2 linked regions of the Tamandua tetradactyla genome follow. The protein of the gene in region 2 binds, or shares a complex with, the protein of the main gene of each other region. Links are inferred from orthologs where the notes say so. Each region holds a gene or a part of one and is shown on either strand. Other genes may lie near its edges.

Region 1 (8,121 bases), on a different chromosome or scaffold from region 2:
TTGAGTCCAGTTAGAGTAGAAAGCCAGTTGTAAAAACCCATTTTTAAAATTCTCTTTCTTAAGAACCACTCCCAGTACCAAGCTGTATTAGCTAGGGTCTCCAGAAAAACAGAATCACAGGAGATATCTGTAAATACAAAATTTATAGAAGTGTCTCATGCAACTGTGGGGATGTAAGAGTCCAAGATCTGTAGGGCAGGCCACGAGATGGCAGCTCCAATGAAGGTCCTCAATGAACTCTCAGGGGAGGCTGGCTGGCTGAAGCAGGGAGAGTGATTGTTTCTTCTGAATCCTCCTTAAAAGCCTTCCAGTGATTAAATTAAGCATCACTCATTGCAGAAGACACTCCCTTTAGCTGACTGCAAATGCAATAAGCTGTGAATGCCACCAACGTGGCCATGATTTAAGTCCATGAAATGTCCTCACAGCAACAGACAGGCTGGCATTTGTCCAACTAGACCGGACACCACTATCTGGTCAAGTTGACACATGAACCTGACCATACAGTAGGGACCATGAATATTGGTTGAGCTAAAAAATGAGTTCAGTTTCTGTGTCTGTGACTTGGGATCTTCTGAGGTGTTCATTCTTCCTGGTGTCCTTGGGCCCATGGCAGACTAGCCTGGCAGGATCCAGCCCAGAGATGGGCTCCAAGGCCAGGCCACGGGGTAGTGGCTCAAATCATACCCTAGCATAGGCTGGCTCCCACTGGCCCAGGAAAACTTATTATTATATTCTTCTTGCCCCCCTACATCTCCTTTCAAAGAGAGCACGTGTAGAGGAAATATAAGGTAAAATGACCTGCACTTCTTGTCATGCTGTACCTTTAGAGCTCCATGGTAAAGAAGTGCAGTTGGGCAATGTGCAGCCTGGAGGATGGGTTACCAGCCTGGAACAAGGGGTATCTGATACTTAAACTTTTGCATACTTGACAATAGCTTGGCTATCCTTCCTTTCCTCTGAGCCCCTGTCAACTTAATTTTCAGAGGACAAGAGCTGGCCAAGCCTCACAATGAATAGGCAACTATTTAGCCCCAGAGATGTGATGGTGGGGAGAGGAAGGGGCTGCTGGGAGCTAAGAGACCTGGAACTAATCCCAGACCTTTTGTTACCTTGCTAGGTAGCCTTTTTAGGGTCACTGTCCCATCATTATCACAGGCCAGAATCCAGCTGTCTTGCAGGACAGTGCGGTAAACAAGAGGGAATAAATAATGCTAAATTGGAATGACTTAATTCCTTCTTCAGTGGGCAAAGGCACCTTTTAACCTCAGTGATGATTTAGATCAAAGACTAGAAATATTTTCAAACTTTCAGTGTTAATATTTTTGTGTTAAGGAATCTATGTGATCTTATTCAGTTTGTATTAGCATATTTAAAAGAATGTATGACTCAATATATTTATAACTTTAACTTATTACATTTACAGGAGTTCTATTTGAACTTGACTTTGTTAGAAGATTATGATACTTTAAGGAAAGTGAATGATTACATTTATAAATGCAATTTCAGTGGTTCATAGGAAATTAAGTTTATTAATGGAACCAACCAAGTGATTGTTAAATTTACTAGATTATGAATAGAATTGTAAAATTTGTTCATTGAAGTGAAAAGTTTAAGGAAGAATTAGGCTTTGGGATTTAATCCATTGAATATTAGCTTTAAAAATTAAATTAACTTCCTTGAGGAACTATGGTATATACATACAATGGACTACTGAGCAGCCCCAAGAAGGAATGAAGTTGTAAGGCGTGCAACTAAGTGTATGAATTTAAAGGACAATATGGTTAAATGAATTGCTTGGAACAAGGAGACAAATGTTTTCATGCCTCAATCATATGGACTAACTATAGTATAAAAACTCAGCAATGTGAAGTTGAGAGCATGAGTTGTCAGATTGGAGCCTATTGTAAAGCGTCCTAGATTGTAAGATCTCACAGCATCATATGTATTCAGAAGTTGTAACTGTTATTTCTAAATTCTGAGATACTGAGCTGTTTTTTATAACCTAGTCATTGCCAGAAACTTCAGGCATTTATGTGACACCTGGGACTCAGAGTTAGAACTCTGAAGTTATGAAAGTCAGCAGTACCCCATATATGAACTATTTAAAAAGTTGAAAAAATGATCAAACATCAACTAGAGATATGAATGAAACTGATGTGGATAGGACTAAGGTAAATCAGAATACAGGGTAAAGGATATATTGTCCATATTTTAAAACTTCAACTTCTGTGAGACCAAAGGGAGAGATGTTTATTTGGTGTAAAATCTATATTTTGGATAGAGTATCTCCTAATTTAAGTTGTATGGTAAGTTTAGCTGAACACCATAAGTACATGGAATCTTGAATAGGGCATGAGATCTTGTTTGTTTGTCCAGGTTGGTGTGATGCTTCTATATATTCCAGAGTAATTTGGGCAGTGAATAAATAAGTATTAGCAAAGTGCCCTTGGGGGACTGAGGAGAAAGGATGAAACATTCCACTTCCCCATTTGAAGAATTTGTGATATTCTTACAAGTAGTGGGGACAACCATATCAATAGACCAAGCTCTCTGTCTTGGAGTTTGCTTCTTTGCAACTTATTCCTGCAAAGGACAGGCTAAACCTCCTTTAAATTAGGCCTAAGAGTCACCCCCGGAGAACCTCTTTTGTTGCTCAGATGTGACTTCCCTCTGTAAGCCAACTTGGCAGGTGAACTCACTGCCTCCCCACCTACGTGGGACATGACTCCCACGAGTGTAAATCTCCCAGGTAATATGGGACAGAACACCCAGGATGAGCCAGGCCCCAACATAAAAGGACTGAGAAAGCCTTCTTGACCAAAAGGGGGAAAGGAGCAATGAGACCAAATAAAAGTTTCAGTGGCTGAAAAATTTCAGACAGTCGGAAGCTTAGCCTGGAGGTTATTCGTATATATTACATAGATATCCCTTTTTAGTTTATGATTGTGCTGGTTTGAAAGGAAGTGTGCCCCCTAGAAAAGCCATGTTTTAATCAAAATATCATTTCATAAAGGTAGAATAATCTCTATCCAATACTGTAGGTTTGAAACTGTAATCAGATCATCTCCCTGGATGATGTGATTTAGTTAAGAATGGTTGTTAAACTGGATTAGGGGACGACATGTCTCCACCCATTTGGGTGGGTCTTGATTGGTTTATTGGAGTCCTATAAAAGAGGAAATATTTTGGAGAATGAGAGATTCAGAGAGAGCAGAGAATGCTGCAGCACCACGTAGCAGAAAGTCCACCAGCCAGAGACCTTTGGAGATGAAGAAGGAAAACGCCTCCCAGGGAGCTTCATGAAACCGGAAGCCAGGAGAGAAAGCTAGTAGATGACGCCGTGTCCACCATATGCCCTTCCAGCCGAGAGAGAAGTCTGACTGTGTTCGCCATGTGCCTTCTCACTTGAGAGAGAAGCCCTGAACTTCATCCGCCTTCTAGAACCAAGGTATCTTTCCCTGGATGGATGCCTTTGATTGGACATTTCTATAGACTTGTTTTGATTGGGACATTTTCTCGGCTGTAGAACTATAAACTAGTAACTCATTAAATTTCCCTTTTTAAAAGCCATTCCATTTTTGGTATATTGCATTCCAGCAGCTAGCAAACTAGAACAATGATATATTGGAGTGGCTGGAGGGAAATACCTGGAACTTGAGCTATATTCCAGTAGCCTTGATTCTTGAAAATGATTGTATAAAGACATAACTTTTACAATGCTACTGTGTGATTGTGAAAACCTTGTGTCTGATGCTCCTTTTATCCAGGGTATAGATAGATGAGTTAAAAAAATAAATGGATAAAAATAAATAAATAATAGGGGAGACAAAGGATAAAATAAATTGGGTAGAAGGAAATACTAGTGGTCAATGAGAGGGAGGGATAAGGGGTGTGGTACATATCTTTTTTCTTTTACTTTTTCTGGAGTGATGCAAACGTTCTAAAAAATGCATGGCAATGAATACACAACTATGTGATGATATTGTGATATTATACATGTATGGAATATATGCGTGTGAAGATTTTACTATAAAAATATTTTTAAAAAAATCAAATTAGCTTCCAAGTAATCTTTTCGGCTCATTGAAACTACCCAGAGAAAGTTAAAAAAAAGAAAAAAAAAAAGGACTTACAATGTATCAGTAGACCATGGAATCTAGACTGGGCAGATTAGACACGAAGCTAGGAGGGGCTAGTGAGCTCCATGGGCTGGAGGTCTCATGAGAATAAAGAACTGATGTGGCTGGGATCTTTGAGCAACCAGAATCATAGAAACTTCAGAGTGAGGGCTTAGCATTAGATATTTGGGAGGCTGGACAGGTCCTGCTGTTGACAGTAGGAAGGATTTGATCACAGGAATGAGCGGCTAACTGGAAACAAGGAGACTGTCTCGAAATATGAAGAAGGAAGTGAAATACCTGACGAGCCAGCAGTACTATTTTGAATGGGTGGCCATTACTTTGCACAAGACTGTTCATATAATCGAAATTTTGAATGGCGCCCCCTGGCGTTGTGCAGTGCACCACCCGCAGCTGTTTGCTTACGCTAAGTCCCGAAGTCGCCAAGTATAATGACAAGAGTTGTGGAGAGGTGAGGTAAGAGTTAAAAGTGCTTGGCAAGCAAAAAATAATAGCTCATAATTGTGGAATCATAATTGCGGACTATTTACTACGTTTGGTAGCACTTTTTCAATAACCCTGAGAGTTCGGTACTATTATTTTCAGCAGCACCATTCTACAAATAAGAAAAGCAAAATAAATGACAAAATATGGCCCTAAACATACTCGGGCAAGAGCACAACTCTACAGCTGAGTTGAACTCAACTCTCCCGGTCCCCTCGGCTCACGGAGCCTGCGCGAGCGCCGTCGCCCCAGTTTAGGGGAAAGTCACGTGCCTGCGCGGGGGCGGGGTCCGCACGGGAACGCCTACGCGCCTGCGCGCGGTGGGCCGAAGGCGCCGAGCCTGTCTTCGCGAAGTGGGCGCTGGGTTCTGCCGTCGCAGCTGCGTCTCCTCAAAGCTCTGCTATCATCCGGGGCTCGGGCCCGGGCCCGGGCCCCCGGGGCATGGCCCTCCGGAGTGCGCAGGGCGATGGTCCTGCCTCCAGCCGCTGGCCCAGGGACGCGGAGAAGGCAGGTACGGAAGCCGGGTGGGGCCGGGGCGTCCAGGAGTGGCCTGCGAGGATGGCCTGAGGGGCAGGGGCGGCCTGAGAGGCAGGGGGGAGCACGCCTGGGACAGAGGTGGCATGGGAGGGGCCGCTGGCTGGAGGGTCCGAGGCAGCGGAGCTGGGACACGCAGGCGGACGCGCCCAGGGCCGCGGGCGGGGGTCGGCGCGGCTGGGGAGGGAAAGGCTGAAGGGCCCGAGTCAGGTCTGAAAGGGGGAGAGGACTTGAAAGTGGGGGATCGGGCGGAGGCTGAGGTGGCTAGAGGAGCGGTGGTGGCAGAATCGCATCTCACTGAGATGGGAGCCCAGGCCTCACCCCCGGCCTGAGACAGCCCGGCCACGTCCGCAGACTCCTGGTGCCAGACTCCTGGTGCTTCCGCTGTTGCTGTAAGGCAGGTTTCTCAAACTTCATTCATATATTGGCGTCGTGACGTAACGCGATGTCCATTTGTCACTTAAAAATTTTTTCGGTAATAAATTTCAGTCTTTTGAAATATAAAATCCAGCGATTCTTAGTATATTCATGACCATTGCCGCTGTCTAATTCCAGAACATTTTCGTGGCCCCAAAAAGAATGCCTGTACCCGTTAGCAGTCACTCCCCCTTCCCCAGCCCCTAGCCACTACTAATTTACTTTCCACCTCTATCGTTTGCCACCTATCTTAATGTTTATTTAATTGTCTAGAAGGTGATCCTCTTTTTCTTTTAACTTAGTTTCATTTTAAGCAGTGATTTGTGTGAAATCATGTTTTTGTTGTGCATTGTTTCCAGACATGTTTTACATGCAATAAGTACATGAAAAAACCTTCAATATTCGCCGTATAACAACTACAATAATCTTATGTCCCTTGGGAAGCAATAAGGTGGCCTTCCACTTTCCTGTCCTCTCATGGGTGGTGCCCATAATAGAACCACTGCCTATTCAACCCAAATGCTTTGAGGAAACATCTGTTAGCCACATCTTCCTCTGAGCTCATTCTCTGTTATTTCCTTTTTCTTCCGTTCTGTGACCTGATGGAGGTGGAGCTGACTTCCGATATACTTCTATGGGCCCTTTGGCATTATAACCTTTTGCTGATGTTTTGTGACATCTGCCCTCATGGCATAATAGTCAGTGTCCAAGCAGTATGGTGCTTGTGACTTGTTGCTCACAGCTGTGCCTAGGTTGCTAGACTAGACGTCTATGAGTGTGAGGAATTTAGAGATGACTTTTTTTATTTTTGTCCTTGTTTTTAGTCATATTAGTGTTGTCAAAGTTACTAATACTAGAAGCCCTCCTTTGTACAGTTTATGATCAGATTGATTTGCTGTCTAGAATATTTTTCTCCATTGTTGGGGTAAAGCAGTCTTTCTAGATATGTCCTTATCTTTATGTTTTAAGCAGGTAATGAATCTCTGCTAATTTGTTTTGTTGAAACTAATTAGAACCACCCAAAACAGAGACTTATTTGTTTTATCTTGTTTTTTTAATAAGCACCTTACCGAAGGTAAAAGTAAGATTTTCCTTTCCCATTGTCTTTCTTTGATACAAGTTCAAGCATAAATTTTGCAGTCAGTTTTCAGTGTTAGCATCGGGAAATCAGTGGGGTAAGAGGATGTTTGTCTGGGAGGATCTCTTACTCTCTCTTTGACTAGCTCTTTCATTGTTTTGATTAAGGCCAGGATTATGTAGTCTAACTTCTGTTTAAAGACTGTGACGTTTTCTTGATGTGCAAGCTTAAATAAAATATCAATATGGTAGTTTGTAGTCTCACATAAGATTCCATTATTGCATATAGACCATTTACCTTATCTAAATCACTTTTATTTTGGTGATATGGAAAAACTTCTAGTGGTTTCTTTAGTCATTGCCTGTTCCCTATACAGGAAACTAGTAAGAGCCCAAGCCGGTTGCTGTTAGAGGTACCTGTTGCTCTGAGGAGGCAGAAGTCCTTACCTGGGTTCTGTACCCAAAGTCAGGAGAGGTTTGAGGCAATAACTGGGCTCCAGCCATCTTTACTTTATCTGAACTGTTAAGAACTACTGCTTTATTGAATGAATTACTTTCCAGGCATCAGGAAATTTATTTATAGAAGAGTCTTATATTTTACAGTCAACCATGGGACAATCATTTCATTCAGTCCTCGTTATAATATCTAAGACCTCTACTATAAAGAAATTTGGAAGATAGCAGCTTTGAAATGCATAATACACCTCTCTAATAAGAAAGGCAGTAAAGAAATTGTAGAAGAAAGAATTCAGGGGATTTGAATTGCATATATGCCACTTCAGATGAAATGTGAGCTTTTATCCCAAGCCCAGATAGAGCAGTCTCAGTCTGGAAATGTAAGCCTCAACCCCAAATCCAGATATAAAACTTATTTTAAAATAAAATAGATATCCCAACCCATGTACTTCCCCCAAAAAACGAACAAGCAAAACAAAGGAAAAGCAAGCAAACAACAACAACAAATGGTGTTGCAATAATGGGATACTCAAATAGAAAAAGAATGAAATGTGACCCCCACCATACAGCATACAAAAAAAGAATAAGAAAATAAAATACATAGCATTAATTTGAATCTTTCCTGAGCATCCCAAGAATAAATAGCTCTGTGGTATTTCTCTTTCCGAGATGAGAAGATATGTAAATTAGTTGCTCATTTGACACTGCTACTCTTTTCTCCCTCATTATGTAGCCTAGCAGTTAACTTTATCTCTGTAATTTATACATCTTTGGCTCACCTGAGTTTTCCCTTTTCTCTTCCTTTTTTATGTCACGATGAGAGCCTACACATTAGATACAGTGAAATACTTGCAAGGTGGGGTGGATGGCTTGGTGGCTTATTTGACGTACCTTCCTCAGCTGCCATCAAACTTTTTTCTTTTTTATTAGAAAAACTGTAGGTTTACAGAAAAATCATGCATAAAATACAGAATTCCCATATACTACCCTGTTGTTAACGCCTTGCATTAGT
Region 2 (7,611 bases):
AGGAGACCTAGGCCTTCCACCTGCCACTTAACTAGCTGCAGGACCCTCCCAAGCCTCCTCACCACTCTGGGACCATCTCCTCATCTGTAAAATGGGACAACAATGCAGACTTTTGGGGGATGTAATGAACATCAAAAAGCACAAAGGCTGTGATAGGTTCAGTATATTTTAGGGTATGGCAGGACGATTTCCGACTGTTCACACCACAATTCTATCATCACTGCTGCCAAGGACGTGCGACTGTACCGCTGGGGGTGGGCACAGGACTCCTAGACCCTGCTTACACTGGGACCAGAGCTCTAGGCTCCCTCACGTCCATGTCCAAATGCTTCCACACAGTGTTTTCCATGCAGGAGGCCAAACAGCTGACTAAACCGACACCAAAGCCAGGTGACAGGGAGGTGTAGAATGAGGTAGCAAATCCGGAGAAGAGAAGATGGCGGGAGTGGGAGTGGGGGATGGGACAGGAAGGGGCTGCTTCTGCCAAAACCTTGCACTCCTGGAAGATCCATCTCGGTGGCTGCTTCCCGCCTTATGAAATGAGTCTGAATATAGTCTCCTTTCAAAGCAGCATCAGGAAGAGAGGACAGGAAGAGAAAAAAGAAGCAAGAGCCAGAGACCTAAGGCTGAGGAGGCGAGAGGCCAGGAGTACCTGGTCGGTGACATCGTACACCACGATGATGCCGTGGGCACCCCGGTAGTAGCTGGAAGTGATGGTCCGGAACCGTTCCTGACCGGCTGTGTCCCACTACAAGACAGCAGGGAGAGAGGGGCAGACAGCTCTCAGCTCCATGTTCAGAGGCCCCCTCCCCTCCCGAGGCCCATGCCTTTGCACCGGGGGCTTTGGGAAGAGCAATACTCACAATCTGAAGTTTGATGGTTTTACCATCCAGCTCAATGGTTCGGATCTTGAAGTCTACTCCGATGGTGCTGATGTAGCTCTCTGTGTATGTGTCATCCTGGAAGGTAGGGGGCCAGTGAACAGGCCTGAGGCCCATTTGGAAAACCCCCTCCAGCTCCATGCCTCAGCTGAGCTCTTAGCTGTAAAACCCTGGTTCTCAGCACCCTAACCGGCCAGCCCTGTGCCTCTGTTCAATCAGAAGTATTCCCAGCAAGTCCTGCAATTTCAACCTTGGTCCCTGGGTCTCACAGTTACTGTGTTCTGAGTTGCCCCCGCTACCCCCTATTGCCCAGCCAGAACCCCGGAGGGGTGGTATAGGAGGCTTCTTACTCACAGCAAACCGCAGAAGCAGGCATGACTTGCCCACACCCGAGTCACCAATCAAAAGCAGCTTAAACAGGTAGTCACTGGAGAGAGAAAACAGGAAGGCATGAAGGGAGCCCACCCGCCATCATCTTCGAGTCACAACTACGGTATTCTCCCACACTGAGAGGCATCCCTCCTTTTACAGAATACTATGGGGCTGACCAGGTCCTCCCACCAGTCCTGGGGAGAGGGGACTCACCCCTTACCTTACACAGCTGTCTACCCCACCTTACCAGCTATCTACCCCAAAGGGCTTTCCGTGTGCTGTGTTTGAATTCCCACTTCTCAGAGGAGGAAACCGAGGCACAGAGAGGGATATGACTTAGCAAGGATCACAATTAGTTTGGTGAGAGAACTGGGCATCCTATCCTGATTCCTGACAGACTCGGCAGTTCTGTCCAATAGGGGCTATTTAGGGAAACCCTGCTACACACCCTATAATGTACCCCACAAGTAGAAGCCAGAACCCATACAGGACCTACTGAATGATAATCTGTGTAAAACAGCCTGGTATGAAGCCACCAGGAAGAAATTAACCAATAAGTGGCATCAGCATAACACTAGCTAATATCACTGAGTTCCTCCTTGTGCTTGGCCCTGCGCTAAGTACTTCAAGCGTGTCATCTCACTAACAACAGTCCAGTGAAGTGGGTGTTACTCTCCCCTAAGGAGGAAACCCGAAGTCAGAGAAGTGAGACTCGCCCTAGGCATAAGACTTGAAAGCAGGTCTGTCAGACTCCACTCTCTGTGGTAGCCTACTGGTTCCCTTCTCTGGCCCCCCTTATAATTCTACAGTATTTCACCCTTTCCCAAGGAAACCTGAGGGCAGGATCCAGAAGAGGAAAAGGAAGTGGCAAAAGAGGAAGAAAGTAACTGCTCCTTGGGAAAAACTGTCACTTAGAAATCCGAGGTGCGAGCTGTGGGCCACCTACCCATAGGGGGAGTGACCAACAAGTAGGAACAGAGAACCCCATTGAAAGGGGGGAAGCAACCACCAGTCATCTAAACTTAAACTTCACCGGCAGAGCGGGAGCCAAGGGAAGGGGTGTGACAGTGGCAGCTGCGGGCCTGCGCAAAGGTGAGGGGAGGGGAAGAAGGGACGGCCGCCGGGAAAGGACGACCCGCCGGAGACGCGGCCCAGAGCGGCGCCTCGCTTCCCGCGTCTGACCAGAGCCGGGCCGGGGCTCCAGGAGAACGGGAAGGGCAGAAGGACTTACGGCCCCCTACTTAAAGGCCAGAGTCTGAACCCGAGACCAGAGACTATCACGCAGGCTCCAAAATGCTGGGACCGTCGTCTGCACCCAGGCCGTAGGTGGGGAAACTGAGGCCGGGAGAGACCCGGGCTGCAGGGTCACTTGACTGATAAGGCCTGGTAGGGTCTGTGCCTCGGGTTCCAAGCGCGGCTTTTGGGGTCGCTGTCTCTGGGCTCTGGATGCAAGGACTCGGGGTATCGAGCCGGGGTCCTGGGGCCCCCGGGGGGAGGGGCGGGACCCGGATGTGTGTGTGGTTTTTTTTTGGGGGGGGGGGTCAGCGGAAGAGGGACCCGGATGTGGGGGCGCCGCGCAGTCCTGACCCGGGCCGGACAAGCCCGGTTAGCGTACAGCCCCGTACTCAGGATCGAGGCTGCGCCGAACGGCGCGGGCGGGGCTCACTCACTATTCGGGGTTCATGGCGGCGGCGGCGGCCCGCTCGGTCGCTCCCAGTCGGCTCTGCTCCGCCTCCCGTTCCAAGATGGTGGTCGCTCCGCCCCAGAAGCCCCGCCCGCGATGCGCAGGCGCAAACATTCCCTCCTTCGGCCTTGTCGCGCTGCTTATCGGAACTTGTAGTATTGTCCTGTTCGCCCCCGCTGCGCAGGCGCAAACCAGAGAGCCCACCCCCCCCAATCGCCGCAGGCGCTTTGCCTTCTGGGGCTTGTAGTTCACCCTCTGGGTAGCCCTGAGCTTGAGGGCAACGCTCTGGACGCCGAAAGCTGCTTTTAGGGCCGGGGTTGGGCGGGGGGGAGCGGGTCACCCGTCTTTTTAACCTCTCTCTGACGGAGGTAGTCATTCCACTTTCCCAGTTCCCAGGTTTGTGAGCATTAAATGCGAAGGCGGATGCGAGTAAAAGATGTTTATTTTTCCTGGTTTCTCCGTGTGCTGGAGGCTGCCGATTCACAACCGCAACCCAGGAGGAAGGTGTTATCACCCACATTTTTATAGATTAAAAAAATCGAATCTCGGAGAACCCGCTCAAGGTCAAACAGTCTAGGTAAGGGCAGAGCTCATCCAAGCCCTCGCTCTCTATAATAATTCCAGAGGTGAAGATTATTAGAAGAACTGAACCTTTCCGGAGGACTTTGAGACACGTAAATGGGCCCCCAAATAATTCCGGCAAGGAGCTGCTACTCAGGAGCCGGACGTGAGCGACACCCCCTCCCGCCCCTCCATCCACACGGAATCTTTCTGTACCCCCGTCAGTCCCCCCTACCCCACCCCCCGATCTGGTGACGCTGGGGGGCTCTCGGCCTCGTCCCCAAAACAAGCCCGGCTCAGATTCAAACCGTCTTTATTTCTACAGCAACATCTGAAAACGGAGAGCGATCGCCATCCCCCACAACTGGGGCAGCCCCTCCTGTCACCGCGGAAGGGGCTGCTCATCGCCGCCCGGCGCGAGAAGCTGCAGCCTTGGGAGGGGGCGTGGCAGGATGGCTCGACCGGCGTGGCCCGGGACGGGGTCTAGCCGCACCTGGCAGGGCCGCGCGGAGGGGCAGTGCAGAAGGCCGCACGCAGCCGGCCGGGGCGGGGGCGGCGGGCAAGGGGTGGACGCTCCGTGCTGGGGCACCGGGGGTTGGCCGGGTAGGGTGTGCCCTCTGAGGCCAGAAGGAGTGCGAGGTCTAGGAAACCCTTTGGGGAGGCGCCGACCCGGAGATGCGGAGCCTGGGAGAAGCCACCGCGAGGAATGGGGGTGATTAAGGCCTGGGCGGTACCACTAGAGAAGGGCGGAGTGGGAAGAGGCCGGGGTAGTACCGTGGACAGAGGTCGGGGGGAACGGCCAATAACTTATTTCTCTATATACAGAAGCAACGGCCGGGGGTGGGGGGGGACGGCAGGGGTGCTGAAGGGTGCTTAGTGTTATTAGCTCCGGGATCTGGGGAGGGCGGTCGCTTAGTCTCTACCTTAGAGTCCTTGGCCAGCTCCTGCTGGCCTTGGGGGCCCCGGAAGCTGGGGCAGAGGGGCCCTGCTGTTAGGAATAAATAAGGGGTGGGAGCTGGAGCCGGCAGACCCAGCCTCCGGGGCTCAGGCTGAGATGACAAGGGAGGAGGTTACCCTGAGATTGAACAGAAAAGACAGAGGGTCCTTGGGAAGGACAAGTGGGACAAGCAGCAAGGCCCATGCGCAGGGCTGGGGTGGGGTGGAGGGGTCAGTGCCGGCTGGAAGCTCTGGTGACTGGCTGCCCCTTCAGCATTAGCCTAGGAGGGAGCTTCGTCGGGAGAGGTCCATGGAGCTGGAGCTGAGCGTGCGGCTGTCAGAGAAGCCAGTGCCTCCAGGCTGTGGGCAGAGGGGGCAGGCCACTTAGCTCACCTGCTGCCAGTCTGGGTTTCTCTGGCCCCGCTTCTCTGAGCGGGGCAGAGGCAGAGCCTGTTCTGACCCAAAGCCACCCCTGTGCTCTGATGGTCCTGTCCATTTCCATGGTTACTGTGCTGACACTGGCCACCCCAGGGCAGGGCCCACTTTCCCCCATCTGTCTCCCCACTGACCAGCCCAAAGCCAGGCCTGGGACAGAGACAAGAAATGTGGCTGGAAATGTGGCCAGATGCATAGAGATGCTGGGGGAGGAGCAGGAACAGAGGCTCGAGGAGAAACTAGGCAATATGCAGGCCCTGGGGTCCCACCCACCCATACCTGAACTGCCTCTTCAGCACTCTTGTTGAGGAAGTTGAGGGAACTGGCCCGCTTCATCCTGAGGGGAAAGGGTGACTGTGATTTGTCCAGGTGGAAGTGGTGGTGGGGGGAGGATAGGATAAAGGGGTCAGGTTGGGGCTAGGGAGGGAGGATGCTGGGAGGGAAGCAGACTTGGTAGGTGGTGGGGCTGGAGAGAGATGGGGGAGCTCATCCTGGGTCAGGAGCTCATTTGGAGTTGGCCGGTATGCTGGGTGGGTTCTTGAGGGATGCACCCTGGGAGGGGGGTTCACCTGGGGTTAGGGGACTCCTGGGGGCCACTGCCCTGCAGCTTTTTCACCAGCATCTCACTGCTGCGCCTCAGTGCATCCCGGAGCTTCCCAAAGGAGCCGCTGCGCCGCAGAGAGCCGCTTCCGTCCTGTGGGGTGGGCAGGCTCGTCTCTGTGCCACGCTGGCTACAACAGCCTCCCAGCTGGCCCCATCCTGAGACTCACCCCGCTCCATTCAGCTGCAGGCCCTGCATCCTCGAGTTCAGACTCCGACCGAGGCCCGGCACCTGCAGCCACGTCTCGGCCACCACGGCGGTCTGCCCGCCCACCGCTGCCATCCTTCAGCAGCTCCACCACCTTGGTCTGGCTTGCAGGGTCCAGGCCCTGGGCAAGCAGGGTGGAGGGGCGTTAGGGGGTGCAGGGGACATCAGGTGGTAAAACAGGCCCTGCCTGGAACACAGGGCCCCCCAGGGCCCCACCACACCCCCATGCACATAGCCCCACCTGCTTGCGGCTGCGGCTGGCACAGTCCTCTAGCGTATGGGCAGCTTCAAGCTTGCCCTGGCGCCGGTACAGAGCCCCCAAGCTGCGCAGGGTCGTGTTGACTGTGGGGCTGTAGGGAGAACAACAGGACAGTCTCAGACGCCATGTTCCCCAGGACCCAGGGCCCGCCCTGGCACTCAGTTCACCGTGGGCCCCGAAGAACCATTTCGCCAACTCAACTCTAGGCCCTTCTATGTGTCAAGCCCTCTGCTAAGCACCCAGCCATCCCAATCACAGAGGAGTTACTCCAGGGTTGGGTGCTGGTACCAAGGCCCTGGTAGGCTAAAAACTGGGAGACCCAGAGTGAGATAATCAGGCTGTTATGGTCAAGAAAGCCTTCTTGGCACAGGTGGCCTGTGACCTGGGCCTTGAAAGATGGCCTGGCAGAGAAGAGGTGAGTGAGTGTTCCGGGTGTGGACAGTATAGAGTGTGGAGCTTGGGCCTTGGCCCCCACCCAGGATGCTGATTCCCTGCTACCTGTGCTACACCCGCCCTGTCCTGCTGCCCTCACCTGTCTACTTTACAGGCCTTGTACCAGCTGCCGTATTCCCCATATGGGGTGCTGTCCCGGCGTTTATCCTGGGGGAAGGAATGGTCAGGGGAGGTGGGAGGAGAAGATCTAGCCTCTTCCAGCCTCCCCTGACACCTGCGCCCATCCTGCCCCACAGAGCTACCTTGCTCTCCTCCCGTTCCTCTGCGTGCATCCAGATGGGCTTGTTGTCCCCTGGGAAGACAAAGGGGGTTGTCATCTGCCTCCCATATAGGCCCCCGCTGGAGTCTGCGGTGGGGCACAGGGGTACCCAGAGTCAGGCTTTGTTGAATGAATGAACAAGACACAGACCCTCTTTGGAACAGAGAGGAACATGGCACAGGACTGTGCTTGAGGGGCTGGTGGTCGGGTTGGCGGGGGCAGAAGGACACGTGCCAGGCCTAAACAAAGGGCCAGGTTCCCAGGGACCCCAGAGCAGAAACAACTGACCATCGGGGAGCCAGAGGCCAGTTTCCCAGAGGGAGAGACATTTGCGCTGGGTCCTTGAGGTGAGCAGGAAGTGGCCAGTGGAGAGAGGGGCAGAGAGGCTGGGGTATGCATAGTATATGGCCTGGGAGGCCCAAGGAGGCTGTGCAGCTTATGTGTTTTGCCCACAGGTGCTCACAGGTACACAGATTCCTGGGAGACCATCCAAGGCGTGGGCCTGACCCCCCGCGGTGTGTGCCCTGGATATTGATGGCTGAGTAGGCCTGTGCCAAATGAGCTGGGGCACATGGCAGCCACAGATGGACTCACCGTTGACAGAGCCAAATTCCTTCTCATGAGCGCGAGTGAGGATCTCCTTGTACAGGGTCTCTGCATCCTGATACTTGCCTTGTTTCAGGTAGCAGGAGGCCTGGAGGGGTAGGGCCCAGAAGGTAAGCAGGTGGCAAGAAGCTGAGCCTTTTCTTCTCCTCTCTCCCCTTTCATTCCCCTCCCTCCTTCTTTCCTACCAGCTCCTCCCAGTTTTAGGGTACCAGGTTGTTCTTGGTCTTGGCCACGTTGGGGTCATCAGGTCCCAGGCGTGTGGCATAGATCTCCAGTGCCCGCCGGTAGTAGTATTCTACCTCCTCAGCCTTGCCCTGGTTCTGGCACAGTAGTGCCAGGTTGCTCAGCTGCTTGGCC

Evidence for each region.
Region 1: the proteins of RAB1B (region 2) and TBC1D20 are in contact, whole or in part, in a crystal structure (PDB 4HLQ), measured with the Homo sapiens proteins. The link is inferred for Tamandua tetradactyla from reciprocal best matches to the Homo sapiens genes RAB1B and TBC1D20. Residues at the interface, in NP_112243.1 of Homo sapiens: Ser17, Gly18, Ser36, Tyr37, Ile38, Ser39, Thr40, Ile41, Gly42, Val43, Asp44, Phe45, Gln60, Trp62, Ala65, Gly66, Gln67, Arg69, Phe70, Thr72, Ile73, Tyr77, Glu94; in NP_653229.1 of Homo sapiens: Gln97, Gln98, Leu101, Asp102, Arg104, Arg105, Leu107, Arg108, His141, Tyr142, Tyr143, Gln144, Gly145, His147, Asp148, Phe177, Met178, Asp179, Pro180, Thr181, Met182, Lys186, Val212, Ile215, Leu218, Ser219, Thr223, His227, Met272, Ala273.

The regions. Positions count from the first base shown.
Region 1 is NC_135327.1:22,340,508-22,348,628, reverse strand, and holds the start of TBC1D20 (TBC1 domain family member 20), read left to right. Parts: upstream 1-4,923; 5' UTR 4,924-5,066; coding exon 5,067-5,136; intron 5,137-8,121. UniProt on the Homo sapiens protein: GTPase-activating protein (GAP) specific for Rab1 and Rab2 small GTPase families for which it can accelerate the intrinsic GTP hydrolysis rate by more than five orders of magnitude. Also shows GAP activity for RAB18 GTPase.
Region 2 is NC_135335.1:8,163,067-8,170,677, forward strand, and holds the start of RAB1B (ras-related protein Rab-1B), read right to left. Parts: upstream 3,052-7,611; coding exon 2,924-3,051; intron 1,309-2,923; coding exon 1,236-1,308; intron 960-1,235; coding exon 864-959; intron 749-863; coding exon 653-748; intron 1-652. Other genes in the region: KLC2 (kinesin light chain 2), read right to left, coding at 4,711-4,794, 5,149-5,206, 5,439-5,563, 5,640-5,798, 5,919-6,027, 6,469-6,536, 6,632-6,735, 7,243-7,342 and 1 more. UniProt on the Homo sapiens protein: The small GTPases Rab are key regulators of intracellular membrane trafficking, from the formation of transport vesicles to their fusion with membranes.